Linked DNA regions of Caenorhabditis elegans. The protein of the gene in region 2 interacts with the protein of the main gene of each other region in a pairwise test. Each region holds a gene or a part of one and is shown on either strand. Other genes may lie near its edges.

Evidence for each region. Proteins that work in one complex are often made in the same cells at the same time.
Region 1: the proteins of gst-15 (region 2) and act-4 interact in a two-hybrid assay, tested with the Caenorhabditis elegans proteins (one large-scale study listed by BioGRID).
Region 3: the proteins of gst-15 (region 2) and dnpp-1 interact in a two-hybrid assay, tested with the Caenorhabditis elegans proteins (one large-scale study listed by BioGRID).

The regions. Positions count from the first base shown.
Region 1 is NC_003284.9:4,958,595-4,964,918, reverse strand, and holds act-4 (Actin-4), read right to left. Parts: upstream 4,299-6,324; 5' UTR 4,258-4,298; coding exon 4,201-4,257; intron 2,120-4,200; coding exon 1,385-2,119; intron 1,329-1,384; coding exon 1,150-1,328; intron 1,095-1,149; coding exon 935-1,094; 3' UTR 506-934; downstream 1-505. Other genes in the region: M03F4.6 (EB domain-containing protein), read left to right, coding at 309-413. UniProt on the Caenorhabditis elegans protein: Actins are highly conserved proteins that are involved in various types of cell motility and are ubiquitously expressed in all eukaryotic cells.
Region 2 is NC_003280.10:13,611,240-13,615,069, reverse strand, and holds gst-15 (glutathione transferase), read left to right. Parts: upstream 1-1,873; 5' UTR 1,874-1,926; coding exon 1,927-2,071; intron 2,072-2,742; coding exon 2,743-3,239; 3' UTR 3,240-3,300; downstream 3,301-3,830. Other genes in the region: gst-14 (glutathione transferase), read left to right, coding at 1-219; gst-24 (glutathione transferase), read left to right, coding at 3,776-3,830.
Region 3 is NC_003281.10:5,861,337-5,865,696, reverse strand, and holds dnpp-1 (Aspartyl aminopeptidase), read left to right. Parts: upstream 1-1,893; 5' UTR 1,894-1,988; coding exon 1,989-2,099; intron 2,100-2,150; coding exon 2,151-2,244; intron 2,245-2,291; coding exon 2,292-2,709; intron 2,710-2,758; coding exon 2,759-3,565; intron 3,566-3,612; coding exon 3,613-3,706; 3' UTR 3,707-3,855; downstream 3,856-4,360. Other genes in the region: rabn-5 (FYVE-type domain-containing protein), read right to left, coding at 1-628, 678-884, 939-1,040, 1,090-1,140; dpf-4 (Peptidase S9 prolyl oligopeptidase catalytic domain-containing protein), read right to left, coding at 3,886-4,342. UniProt on the Caenorhabditis elegans protein: Aminopeptidase with specificity towards an acidic amino acid at the N-terminus. Plays a role in membrane trafficking and is specifically involved in the recycling and degradation of endocytic cargo.

The DNA of each region.
Region 1 (6,324 bases), on a different chromosome or scaffold from region 2:
TTATTTTATAAAAATGCTATATTCATGTGGCAATGTTTCGACTTGTAGAAAATGAATAATAGGCTGCGTCCATATCCTGTTTTTTTCCGTTAAAAATATTTTTTCAAACATTGTATGATATATTTTTAATAACATACTTGAGTAAAACAAAATGAGACACTAATCATAAAAGCGGATCAAGAATTCCATGAATTTTTTTAATTTTTGTTGTACATTTTGTGTTCAATTCTTATTTTAAACTCAAAAAACAACATATTTTTCTAAGATTTGTTGTTTTAGTTTAAAAAAACTCACCTTCTAAATTACAGGATCAACTACTAGGAGTCCGTTGCACAAATCCAGATGATCCGCTCAGTATTGGCTCAATTTTGGACCGCGTCGGAGACATCTTCGGAAACAAACAAGGCAAATAATCTGTGTTCCGTAACAGCTACTCACTTCATCTCTCCTCCGGGTTGAATTTTCTTTATTTGTATTTTTTACATTAGATAAACTTGATCAATTTGTCTTATTAAAAGCTTTATTATGAATGTGGCTCAAATAATGAGCATGATTCAGAGAAAAAATGGTTTAAAATGTCAATTTTGTAATGAGAAAATGGGGGTCATCGGCAGTAATAGGGTACAACAACAAAAGTGATTGCATTAAACCTCAACTTCAAACCAAAGATACACAGAGAACCTAGTTATACATGCCTAGATTACTACCGGAATAGTATTGAACAAATACAAGAGAAGTTACCAATGAAGATTTGGGTGAGAATGGGAAGCATAATGCAGTCGGCTAGAGAAGTTGGAACTATTACTAGCAATGTACACGGAGAGGGTGAAGAAAAAAAAAAGAGAAAATAAAAAAAATGTAAAAGGATGGTCTGGATGGGTTGCGGGATAATACGAACTTCTTTTGAGCGTTGTGGGTGGAAGGGGCAAAAAATTTAGAAGCACTTGCGGTGGACAATCGATGGGCCGGACTCGTCGTACTCTTGCTTGGAGATCCACATCTGTTGGAAGGTGGAGAGGGAGGCGAGGATGGATCCTCCGATCCAGACGGAGTACTTGCGCTCTGGTGGGGCGATGATCTTGATCTTCATGGTGCTGAAAAAATAGAAAGTAAATATTAGTTCTTGAAATCCATTTAAGTTAAACTTACGATGGGGCAAGAGCGGTGATTTCCTTCTGCATACGATCGGCGATTCCTGGGTACATGGTGGTTCCTCCGGAAAGGACGGTGTTGGCGTACAAGTCCTTACGGATATCAATGTCGCACTTCATGATGGAGTTGTAAGAAGTCTCGTGGATTCCGGCAGACTCCATACCCAAGAAGGATGGCTGAAATGAATAGGAATTAATTTTATGTTTAGCTAGAGGTGCAAATATTTTCTTACCTGGAAGAGAGCCTCTGGGCAACGGAAACGCTCGTTTCCAACGGTGATGACCTGTCCGTCAGGAAGTTCGTAGGACTTCTCGAGGGAAGATGAGGAGGCAGCGGTGGCCATTTCTTGCTCGAAGTCGAGGGCGACATAGCAGAGCTTCTCCTTGATGTCACGGACAATCTCGCGTTCAGCGGTGGTGGTGAAGGAGTAACCGCGCTCAGTGAGGATCTTCATGAGGTAGTCAGTAAGATCACGTCCGGCAAGATCGAGACGGAGGATGGCGTGTGGGAGGGCATATCCTTCGTAGATTGGGACGGTGTGGGTGACACCATCTCCAGAGTCGAGGACGACTCCGGTGGTACGTCCGGAAGCGTAGAGGGAGAGCACGGCCTGGATGGCGACGTACATGGCTGGGGTGTTGAAGGTCTCGAACATGATTTGGGTCATCTTTTCTCTGTTGGCCTTTGGATTGAGTGGAGCCTCAGTGAGGAGGACTGGATGCTCTTCTGGGGCAACACGGAGCTCGTTGTAGAAGGTGTGATGCCAGATCTTCTCCATATCGTCCCAGTTGGTGACGATTCCGTGCTCAATTGGGTACTTGAGGGTAAGGATACCTCTCTTGGACTGGGCTTCGTCTCCGACGTAGGAGTCCTTCTGTCCCATACCGACCATCACACCTTGATGTCTTGGGCGTCCAACGATGGATGGGAAGACAGCGCGTGGAGCATCGTCTCCGGCGAATCCGGCCTGAAATTATCAATTTTTGTTTCAATATATCCCATGATGACCCCTAGATAAGAAATGAATACTCTCGTTAGGTCTTTCAAGAATGTCCATTATATTTACATTGCAAAGAGAGAAGGTTGCGGCGAGAATTCGGTCGAGATTTGGCAGAGCGCAGTGAGTCCGCGCACGAGCGAGAGCAGTGCAAACACAAAAGGCCCATTCCCCTATTCTCAAAATGCCCTCTCTCGCTCTACTCCTCTAGTTCACGGTTGATATCGAATGAAGTACTTTTTCCGAGAACGCTTTGGTGTGTGGTGAGCGGCGACAACGCTCAACAGATGTGTGTATGTCTCTCTGTGTTTGTGTGTGTGTGTGTGTGTGTGTGTGTGTGTGTGTGAGAGAGTGTGCCCAGCGCTCGCTTACCCCCGTGTTGGTCGCAGGGGCCTGCTGCTGCCACTGGCCCCGTTTTTTTTTACCCACTCAGATCCATTTCGCAATCCAATTGCGCTGTTGAATAATGAGATAGGAAACGGGGCGAATGGGAGGCCATCAGCAGCACTGAGAAGCGGGGCATTCGGGCACTAAGACAGATTTCGAAATGCATTGAGTCATCGTCTACACACCAAGAGCACCAGATGTGAGCGTGTCAGTTTTTTGATTTCAAATGGAAATTGTGGAAAATTGAATTAGAATGGGAAGGGGGACATTTTGATGATGAAAGTCCCTGATGACCATTGCATTTGTACAATCCTATCCCGGTCACTTACTCTCTCCCCGTTCATCCTAATCGCACTTTTCGCCTCCTACTACTTGGCCTCAATCGGACTCTCATGTCTAGATTGCGCATATTCATTTCTATCAATCAATATAGTGAGGATTGACAAAAGGTGGCATTTCTTGGCCTTGACAGTCCGTCCGTCCCTTCTTGTGTCCTATCCGTCTCCCATCCGTTCGGCTGTTGGCGTGGTGGTAGTCATTCAACAAGAGAGGCCGAATGGAGGGAAACCGCCGCCCTGCATACAGTGATGCGAGGAGGATACAAGGGCACACTTGACCAACACACTGTCAAGATTAGCGATTAGCGGCAGCCTCTTTTCTGACACATATATATAAATAAATCCGGGAAGGGTTCGCCAATACCATCGGAATCTCACACTCTCAGACACTCACACACATCTTGTTTCCTAGGGCCACAAATTAGCCAAGTAGCACTATTGAGGGTGGTGCGGATAATTGATGTTCGCGTTGCGCTTCTTCGTTCCCAAATTATACTTAATGAGGATTGCAAAGTGAGGTGGTTGCAAATAAAGATACCCGTCGTGGATAGACAAAAAACTACTGGCTTTTGACGACGAAAAAAATCGCTGTTCTTGTTGAATGGTTTGCCTCTCTTTCTATCTTATGGGGTTGCTAATCTACTGGCGAAATCTCTATTCAACTATTGCCACTGCCCTCTCGGAATGTGCATTACACTACTGTTGGCTGGTCGTGATATATCCCATTGTACGAAGGAAACGTCGCGGACGTTCCCTCAACGGACGGCCTCTCCTCACACACCATTGCAAATGCGCATCGGGTCGGGGTCGGGTTGGCCCCTCTCCAACAATACTCTACATACACTAAAAACATATCCTTGCGACGATTCCTTTTTTCTTCCCCCCCCTTACATATTCTCCCAGTGGGATGAAAAAGGGGCGCGTGGCGCCAGATTTGAAAATGGGAGGGAGCGAGTGACCGCGCGCAGGTGTTGACGGACGATATGAATCACCACCCACTACTACTACAACTGTTGCCATAATTATTTGCGAAACAATGCAAATCGAAACGTTGAGAAGGAATAGAAATTCAAAATCCTTATGCGGCAGGGAAACAACTTTTTATACAATGCAATGGAATTATTCCTAGGTTGTTGGAAATTTTAAACCCAAATGAAAAGTAAATTTGAGACATGGAGTTGGAATAAGCGCAGTTAAAACTAACAAAATAAAATTTTCCAAAATTTCTAAATCTTATATTCAAATGTTTCTAGAGCAGTTAAGATTGCATAATATTGTTTTAAACCTTTGTCCCTAATTAGAATTATTCAAATGTTATCAACTCACCTTGCACATTCCGGATCCATTGTCCACCACAAGAGCGGCAACCTCGTCGTCACACATTTTTTTGGGAACTGAAAGCGGGTGCCTAGTGAAAAACCAGTGCACAACTCTGCCTCTCGTGGCCTATTTATACTGCTGCACGCGACGCGTCCGCGCCGCTCTTTGCCATTGGTCGGCTGGCCCCGCCCAACCGAATGAGGGATTGAGGGAATACTGGAGAGCGGCCATCCGACAGACGGTCCTCGGAAGGGCGGGACACGGAGGGAAAAACAGTGTGGTGGTGGTGTCCTGGAAAATTTGAATTGGGGGACCGCGTCGCGCCTTCCCGCCTCGAAGATGAGGCGTTCGGCAGAGCGCAACGTGAGAAAAACGCCTAAAAATGTTTTGTAATTATGAAATTGGTCAGTGAAAAGCGAACGGCCGTTCGGTTTTTAAGGGATAATTTGATAAGGAACCGTAAGATTTTAATGTTGCAAAACAATTGCAGACGTCGTGGCACTGCAGACTAAAGATGTTCTCAGAACTCTTTTCTTGCCATACTTAGTGATATATTCGAATCTAGAATTAATCTTTTTGTCATCAATATCAGGAAAAGCGAGGTTTTTTAACTGTAAGTTGGTAATGAAGGAACCGTATTTTCCAATATATCGATGGTCTCTAGTTTTATTAAGAAATGATTCAATGTTCAAATGTAGAAAAAAATTTGACACGTATTTTGTCAAAGTGGAGCATGACGTGCCAGTGTTAAAGGAAAATTCCTCATGTTTTCAACACTTTTTGTACTTCAAAGTATATCTGAAAATGATTTTGTTTCAAATCACAACAAAGCAAAATTTCTGAAAATTGTATTAGTCATCAATTTCTATTCTTGGATATTGTCACATGTTCGATTTTTGAATTTATATGATTCAACAATTTGTTTTTTTTTTCTGTATTCCGCCGGAATATAATCTTTGAGCGAGAGGGTTTAGATTTTTTTTCTCCAAAAAGTTTGAATTGTTTCCATTGAATTAGCTGCCCTGCTTTCTCGGTGTTACACTGCAAGTTTTGCTTTCAACTGCACAATGCGGGGGAGATGAGAAGCGGGAAGAGCGGAGCATCATCAGGAACCATCAACAACATGTTACCTCTCGGGGTCCAGTTTTATTGGTTGCGAAGAAAACGAACAAAGTGCCGAGAAAGAGGGACCTGATTAAATGGGTTCGCAATTTAATTAGTATCACCCAGAAAACTCATTGAGATTCTTTTTTTTTCAAAACATAGTGGTCAAATTGGTTTCCTCTTCCCCCCCCCCCCCCCCCCTCAACCGTGCGCGGTGTTCTCCCAATGTTTCACATCCAACTTTTCCCGAATAAGAACAAAAAAATAGTTTTCCATTTCGTTACAAAACATGAAGCGTGTCCTCTTTTGATGAGTAATCGTCGTATAGAAAAATATGAGAAACAATGACGGAAGGCAAAAAAAAGGAAATGTTATGTTTAGAAATGAAGTAAAATGTCACTGATGATTCAGAAACGGGGGGCATCGACGTTCTGTTTACGAATGTGTTCCACAGCTTTTTTTTGTGAGAACGATTGACCCAACAAGGGATCAGATGACATCACTTCATGCCCACCATAAAGCACAAATGCACTATAGGTTCTTTCAATACACTATGGCATGTTTATACACACTTGCTGTCTACTCTTCATTCTTAAGAGCACATTGTGTGTGTGTGTGTGTGTGTGCTCGTTTCAGACTTTCTCAGAATTGGTAAACTGGAAAATTTTGAACACCGCAGCTTGAGTTTACACTAACACAATGTCAAAATTCCCAAGGTTTATGAAAAGTCTGAACTTTTATGATCACCAATGTATATCAGAGGTGCGAGACAAAAATTGAAAATGTCAAGAAATTGCCAACTTTCAGTTACTGAGCCTTAAGTATCATTTTAATGGGGTTGATGTTTTAGAGAAATTCAAATTAATCTGAAATATTTGGAAATTTCAAATTTTTACAAGATTTTAGACAAGAAAAATTTCAACTTTGCAAACATTGTCCCACAATAAATCTAGAAATTTGAAAATTTTTCAAACACTTAAAGGTAGAGTAACGTCCAGATTCAACACAAATAGTAAATTTTCATAC
Region 2 (3,830 bases):
CTCAATGGCCTACTGGAAAAGAGCAAGTCAGGATATCTGATCGGAGATTCAATCACCTTCGCGGATCTTTATATCGCTGACAACATTCAAACACTGAAAAAATATGGGCTCCTAGAAGCTTCTGGAGAGCAACCAAAACTAGCAGCTCATCTCGAAAAAGTGTATTCCCACCCCAATCTGAAGAGCTATATCGCAAGTCGTCCAGTAACGGAGATCTAATTTTTAATCTTACTAACATGTTTTCCATATTCAAAAACAAAATAAAGAAGTTTCCTTTGACAACCAGAAACTTCATTAATGTTGACTGCCGCCGAAATGTCCTTGTCAATACTCTCTCACGTGGGGGGGGGGGGGGGGGGTAAACAAGAAAATGTGATGTTTGGTGAACAGAAAGGGTAGGGGAGAATAACAAAATAAAAACGAAGGAGGTTTTCTAAAGAATGATTGTTCTGGATTTTTTTTTGTTGGTTTTTTACAATTCATTTTTATTTTTATACTTATGCCAAGTTGAATTAAAGATGGAGCAGAGTTTCTGAAGTTTGCATATATTAATTACCTATTTTCAACAAATTTAGACGGCATTTTATTTTTGCCCAATTTTTTTCAGCCATCTAAGGACTGTCCTTTTTTTGGGCAAAAAAAATTTCTCTGAAACCGTTCGAAACTACTGGAAATTGAAAAAGGGCAATTTTTTAGTGTTTGCAGATCAATTTTGAGTCCTCTATCTATAAAATTGACCATTTTAGAGGAGTTTCAAAATTGTGATTTTTTGCCATAAATTGCCCATTTTTGCCACGTTATAGTTTTTGATGGGTTAAACATAGATTTTCTGAATTCAGCATACACGAATTACCCGTTTTCAACAAATTTAGCCAAAAATTTTTTTGCCCAATTTTTTTAAAGCCATCTAATGACTGTCCTTTTTTTTGGGCAAAAAAAAAGATTTTTCTTAAAACGTTTGGAACCACTGGAAATTGAAAAAGGGCAATTTTTTAGTGTTTGTAGATCAATTTTGAGTTCTCTAACTAAATTCAAAATGAACCATTTTAGAGGAGTTTTAAAATTTGTGATTTTTTACAATAAATTGCCCAAACAATATGTTTTTAAAAAAATTTTTAATGATTTTTTTTTTCAATTTTTCAAAAATCAAAGAAATGCCCAAATTATATTTGAATTCTCGCGCAAATGAGTGACGTCATTTTTGGCTAAATTTATGCGTTTTTTTTTAAAATTTTCTTCTATATTTGATTTAAAACACAAATTCGGCAATTGTTTTTCAAATTGAAAACTTTTTTCCGTAACATGGAAGAAATTGGTCTAAAAAACGGAAATTTAATATTTCTTTATATTTTTTTTGTTTTAGAAAATTGAATGTTTGAAAAATTGACAAACGGCGATTTAAATCAAATGTAGAAGACATATCAAGAAACCCCTCCAAAATTAGCCAGAAAAAGCGAAAATGCATAGAATGACGTCACTCATTCGCGCGGGAATTCAAATTTAATTCGGACGTTTTTTTTTTCAAATGGAAAAAAATTATTAAAAATTTAGAAAATTTTTAAAATTTTTTGACAGTTATATTTGGTTATTACGACCTATTTTCTGTGACTTAAACCCAAAAAAAATTTGAAAAAGCTCTTCTTCTCTTTTCAAAGTGGGGTTTTTTTCGAAACGTGTCCTGCAAAAAAATGTAAATTTCCAAAAAATCGTTTTTATTTCTCTTATTTTTCTTTTATTTTGAAATTTTAAATTTTGTGCTCTTTTTTATCACAATGCTCAAAGACCACCGATTTCCAATTCCCATATTATATTTTTGCTTAGAGACGTAAGCCTCAAATAAATAGACTTAGACTGTTAGAGACCTCGCTTTTTCCACTCAATTTTGTCGATTTTCGAATCCACCTTTTTCAATCTTCCAGAAATAAAATGCCACAATACAAGCTAACATATTTTGATCTACGTGGATGGGCTGAGCCGGCTCGACAGCTTTTCCATCTCTCGCATACTCCATACGATGATATTCGGATTCCAATGGCCGATACTGAAGGGAAATGGGAGAAAATGAGAGACAGTAAGTTCTTAAAGTGAAATGTGTTGCTTGTAGTTTGTAGTTTGTAGTTTGTAGTTACTGATGCCACACTTAATTTGAAAAAGTTTGAACTAAAAAACATTAAATTTCTTGGCTTTCGGGGAAAAATCTTTTTGTAGTTTGTAGTTTGTAGTTCGTAGTTTGTAGTCTGTAGTTTGTAGTTTTTAATTTGTAGTTTGTAGTTTGTAGGTGCTAGTTTGTAGTTTGTAAAAGGTTTTTTGGTACGAAAGTATTTTGAAAAATTAATTTTTGTCAAAAAAATAGTTTGTTACTTGTAGTCCGTAATTCGTATTATGTAGAATATAGGTTGTAGTTTGTAGTCTGCAGATTGTAGTTTGTAGTTTGTATATTGTAGTTTGTAGTTTGTAGCTTGTAGAAAGGATTAGATATTTCTGTTTTTTTTTCGTATAAATAGAAAGTCACTACATCCAGCTTTAGGGTTTCATAAGATCTTCAGGCGTACGCGCCTACTTTTTGCCTGCCTGCCTACGTGCTCTCCATTGTGACTTCTTGTTTAGCGCAGATTTCAAATATTTGTGTTAAGTATAAAATGTTCGATTACAAACTGAGAGTATGAACACACGATGGCAGACGTAGGCATGTAGGCAAGCGTGCCTACAAAGAAGACCTGCCATAATTAATTCAACTTCCAGAAACCCCATTTGGTCAGCTCCCAGTACTCAACGTTGATGGCTTCGACATCCCCCAATCTGCTGCAATTTGTCGATACCTTGCCAAGAAATTTGGTTATGCCGGAAAAACTCCAGAAGAAGAAGCGTGGGCGGACGCCGTTGTCGACCAATTCAAAGACTTCTCCGTTGCTTTTAAAACACTCCTTTTTGCCACAAGGGCCGGGAAACCAGAAGAAGAAATCCTCAAAATCCGCTACGAGATTTTCAATCCAGCTCGAGATGTCTACTTTATTCTTCTCAATCGAATTCTCAAAAAGAGCAAGTCAGGTTATTTAGTTGGTGATGGGCTCACATGGGCTGATCTAGTTATAGCTGATAATTTGCACAGTCTGGAGAAGCTTCGAGCCATCGATGATGATGATGAAGGACATCAGAATTTGAAAAAGTATAAGGAGAAAATCTATGGAACCCCAGATTTGGAGGATCATATTGCGACGAGAATGGATACAGAAGTCTAAATTTTGAATCGCGTTGAATTTTTAAAAACTGTGATAAAAGATAATAAACATATTGTAGTATTTTATGCGGATATTTTTTTACCGAAATACTTTTTTTTGAAATAATAGTGCGAGAAGTGCAACAGGGCTCCATATGATTTTTCAGTACTTTTGAATTTTTGAAAAAAACAGCTTTTGATGTATTTTCTGAACTTTTTAAAATAATCTTCCGTACAAGTTAGCAAATTTTATTTAATATTTTTTGGTATATTTTATCATGCTAAACAGTTTTATAAAAGAAAAATGAAGCACTTCATATGATTTTTCAGTACTTTTGAATTTTTGAAAAAAAAACAGCTTTTGATGCATTTTCTGAATTTTTCAAAAATTTTTCCAATTTTCTGACTTTTTGTTTTGTGACCAGTGTTTCTTCGCAAAAACACAAACCACTCTTCTATTTCTCTATTTCTCTCACTCTCCCTCCCCTCAATTTCGGAGATTTTCGAAACGACTTTGTGTATATAAAGTACTACTCAATCATCTCCCATCAACAAACAATGCCACAATACAAGCTCTACTATTTCAACCTTCGTGGATGGGCTGAGCCGGCTC
Region 3 (4,360 bases), on a different chromosome or scaffold from region 2:
CCAATTGAATTTGGAGGCTTTGAGATAATTTCACAAAATCTCTCTGCACAACTTCAGATGTGTCGAGTTCTTGTTGAAGACTTGTGCACCGTTGCTTGTAGTTCTGTGCCGTCTGTTCAACAGCGGCTCTCTCATTTTGAACCTGCTGAACCTGCGTCTCAAGTTCACCGACAGTTGTTTGAAGATCTCTAATTTGTCTGATATTCGAATCTTGATCTGCAATTGTTTCCGATGCAACAACCATTCGAGTGTTGATCTTTCCTAATTCCGACTGCAATCTGCTGATCTCTGCAGTAAATGTCACTTCCTGATCTTCTCTGTGCGCTCTTTCTTCTAGAATCTGAGCTCGCAGGACGGTGATCTCATCCTGCAGCTGCTGCTCGGTGTGCTCTTTTGCAGCTCGAGTTTCTATCAATTCTTCCCTATTCTTGAGACAAATAAATTGTAATTGATCAAGATCAGCTGGCATATCGATTTTCTCGGACCGAAGTTCTTGTGCTGATTTTCGTGTGGACCCGAGAAGCTTTTTGTACTTTTTTCCTAATGTAACAAAGTCATCGTCGGCTTGTTGCAGTTTGTCACGAGCCAAATTCAATTGATCAGTGAATACTTCTATCGATTTGTCGTGCTGAAATTAAGCTTTTTTAAAAGTTATTCTTTTTATTTATTTAAAATACCTTCGCACTGAGCTCGTCCAGCCGCTGCTCCGACTTGGCATTTGCCTTTGCCGCCTCGTTAACCTGATTCAAACAATTAGTCGATAATTCGTTCATTTTCTTTTCCAATTCTTTTCGATAGTCTCGTTCATTGCTCAAATCCAATTGATATCTTTCGTTCAACTCCATTGCCGCCTTCACTTCTTCCTTTAACTTTCGTTCGTTTTCCTGCAAAACAAACAAAAATCATTTGCATATTTGCCGTGTTCCCATGATTCTCACCTGTAATGCAGTCAAATTCACTTCATAATTCTGGCACATTTCGCATTGAAGCGTTGGATTCGGTGAGACTTGCGAAATCTTTTTGGACGGTATTGGCGGCTCCTGAAATTTAAGGGTCTTTGAATTATCGATTAAAATGCAACACTCTTACCTCTGCATTCACTCCGGCAGACACTTCTTCGCTAGCCGACGGTTCTGTCATTTTTCTAGAAAATTCTTGATTTATTCGAAAAATATATGAGTCATTTGATTAATTAAATAAAAAAGGTCTCATCACAATGTTGGCAAGGACTAGGTTGAAAACCTAGGCCATTTGGTGACACATTTAAAGAGCATTAAACATAATAATCGAGCAGTTTTAGTATTAATTTCATTAAACGACTTCCAAGAGAAAAGTAAATGTTTTCTGGAGTGAAATAAACATATTTCATTCTGTTGAGTTATGAAAATGTTATTATATGTTTAATTTATTTTTTATTCATAAAAATTTAAAAATTTGTAGTAAAAATCATTCTATTTATAAACAATATATCGCTCTGAAAAATCAAGATGAACAAAATTTTATATATAAAATTTATAATTATATTCAAAGTTCAGAACATTTCCAGCTATTGTAGTTTTCTTTCCAGGACCCAAAAAATGATTTAAGCGTTGCGCCTTGAATACAGTACTACTCTACGTTAAAAATTGTTCTTTTCTTCTTTTCGATTTCTAAAATTTTCCGACGTTTTTTTCCTGTCAATTTTTTTTTCACTAACTTTCCTCAAATAATTCCTGATCTTTTCGCTTTTCTCATGTCTTCTCCATTATCTTTTCCTTCATTTTTGATTCTTTCTATTAGAAACCTTGATAACTATCACTGATAACGCATTTTTGATAATCAGCACCACATATTCTTCTCTCGAACTTTCGCCCAGTAGAAACTAACCGTTTATCGCTTATAGAAAATCATTCCAGATTCAAATTTTATGCAACATTTTGTCTTATCTTTTTTCATTTTCACTCCGATGGTAGTAAAATATTGGGCTCAATTCATTTTGAGTTTGAATCATGACAAAGAAGTCGTTTCGAAAAAATCGTATTTCCGAAAAATTGAAAGTAGTGTGCGGCTGCTATCCAAAACATGAAATTGAGCCCAATACCAGCTATCAACCCAAAAAGGTTTTCACTATTCTTTCTTTGTCTTTTCATAAATAAGTTTATTTAATTTAGATGGCCGCTGCTCTGAAACCAAGTGCTCCGGAGATCCGCAAAGCTGCACAAGAGTTCATCAACTATCTGAATAAAGCAGTTACTCCATTTCATGGTAATATTTATTATTTATTTTTATATTCAAAAGTATATCAATTGCAGCCACCCAAGAAGTGAAGGATCGCCTTCTACAAGCCGGTTTCACAGAGCTTCCAGAATCGGGTCACTGGGACATTCAGCCAACCAGCAAATACTTTGTCACCAAGAACCGCTCTGCAATTCTTGCATTCGCTGTTGGAGGATCTTACAAGCCAGGGAGTGGATTCTCGATTGTTGTGGGACACACTGACAGTCCATGCCTCCGTGTCAAACCAATTTCCCACCAAAAGTCTGATAAATTCCTTCAAGTTGGTGTATCAACTTACGGAGGTGGAATCTGGAGAACCTGGTTTGACCGTGACTTGTCGGTGGCTGGATTGGTTATTGTCAAGAATGGAGAGAAACTTCAACACAAGCTGATCGACGTGAAAAAGCCAGTTCTTTTCATTCCAAATTTGGCGATTCATTTGGAGACCGACAGGTATTTGAAATTTGTCACTATCGTCCTAATTTTGCAATTTATTTCTCAGAACAACATTCAAACCAAACACGGAAACTGAGCTCCGCCCGATTCTGGAAACCTTCGCTGCTGCTGGAATCAATGCACCACAGAAACCCGAGTCTACTGGTTTTGCCGATCCACGAAACATTACCAACAATCATCATCCCCAATTCCTCGGATTAATCGCGAAGGAAGCTGGATGTCAGCCAGAAGACATCGTTGATTTGGATCTCTACCTTTACGATACAAACAAGGCTGCGATTGTTGGAATGGAGGATGAATTCATTTCTGGAGCTCGTCTTGATAACCAAGTTGGAACATACACTGCGATAAGTGGACTTCTCGAGTCTCTAACTGGAGAGTCATTCAAGAATGACCCACAAATTCGTATTGCCGCATGCTTCGATAACGAGGAAGTAGGATCGGATTCCGCGATGGGAGCATCTTCTTCTTTCACGGAGTTCGTTCTCCGCCGTCTTTCTGCTGGAGGCTCAACAACCGCTTTCGAAGAAGCAATCGGAAAGAGCATGCTCATCTCTGCAGATCAAGCTCATGCCACGCATCCAAACTATTCGGCAAAACACGAAGAGAACCATCGTCCAGCATTCCATGGTGGAGTCGTCGTCAAAGTAAACGTCAATCAACGATATGCAACAACTTCAACCACACACGCTGCTCTCAAGCAAGTTGCATTCGAAGCTCAAGTTCCTCTTCAAGTTGTCGTCGTTCGCAATGATTCTCCTTGTGGATCGACGGTTGGACCGATTCTTGCCACAAAACTTGGCTTGCAGACTGTCGATGTAGGATGCCCACAGTTGGCTATGCACTCGATTCGGTAGGGATTTAACTTTTAAATCACATCATTTATTTTCTTGATTTCAGCGAGTTTGCCGACACTTCGAGCATCTACCAGGCCACCACTCTCTACTCTACATTCTACGAACGTCTGTCAACTGTCCTCTCCAACATGCAATAGGCAAATCAATGTTGATCCTTCCCAATCATAATTTCTACTATTTAATCGCGTCGTGATATCCAATCTTCAGTTTCTCTGTGAATATTAATTTCTATAATTTATTTGGTTTTCAAATAAATAAAGCAATGCATTTTTTAAAAGCTGAAATTTTATAGATAACAATTTAAACAAAAACAAATCTAATGCTTCGGATTAACAATTTCGATCTTCGAACTAATTGATGGTTCAATTCCAACGGCCTTCATCAAAAAGTAGAAAGTGGCTTCGGTGCTTTCCTTGATCACTTGTCCATTCCTAAATCCATGTCCTTCTCCATCGAAAAGCATCAGAGCAGTTGTAACTCCACTAGCACGGATCTTCTCATACATTGTGATAGATTGGCTCATCGGTACTACCGTATCCTCCCTTCCATGCAAGAATGCAATAGGAGTTCTAATTTTATCAATATGATAAATGGGACTTCTTTCTTCGTAAATGCTCGCTTGCTCAGGATATTTTCCGATAAGCATCTCATTGTAACATCTTTCCAGTTTATGAGTATCTTCATCTAAAGCCAATAGATCAGCAACTCCATACACAGAAACTGCTGCTTTTATGATATTTTTCGGTGAGATAAGACAGCTCAGAATCAGATACCTGAATAAAAATATTTAT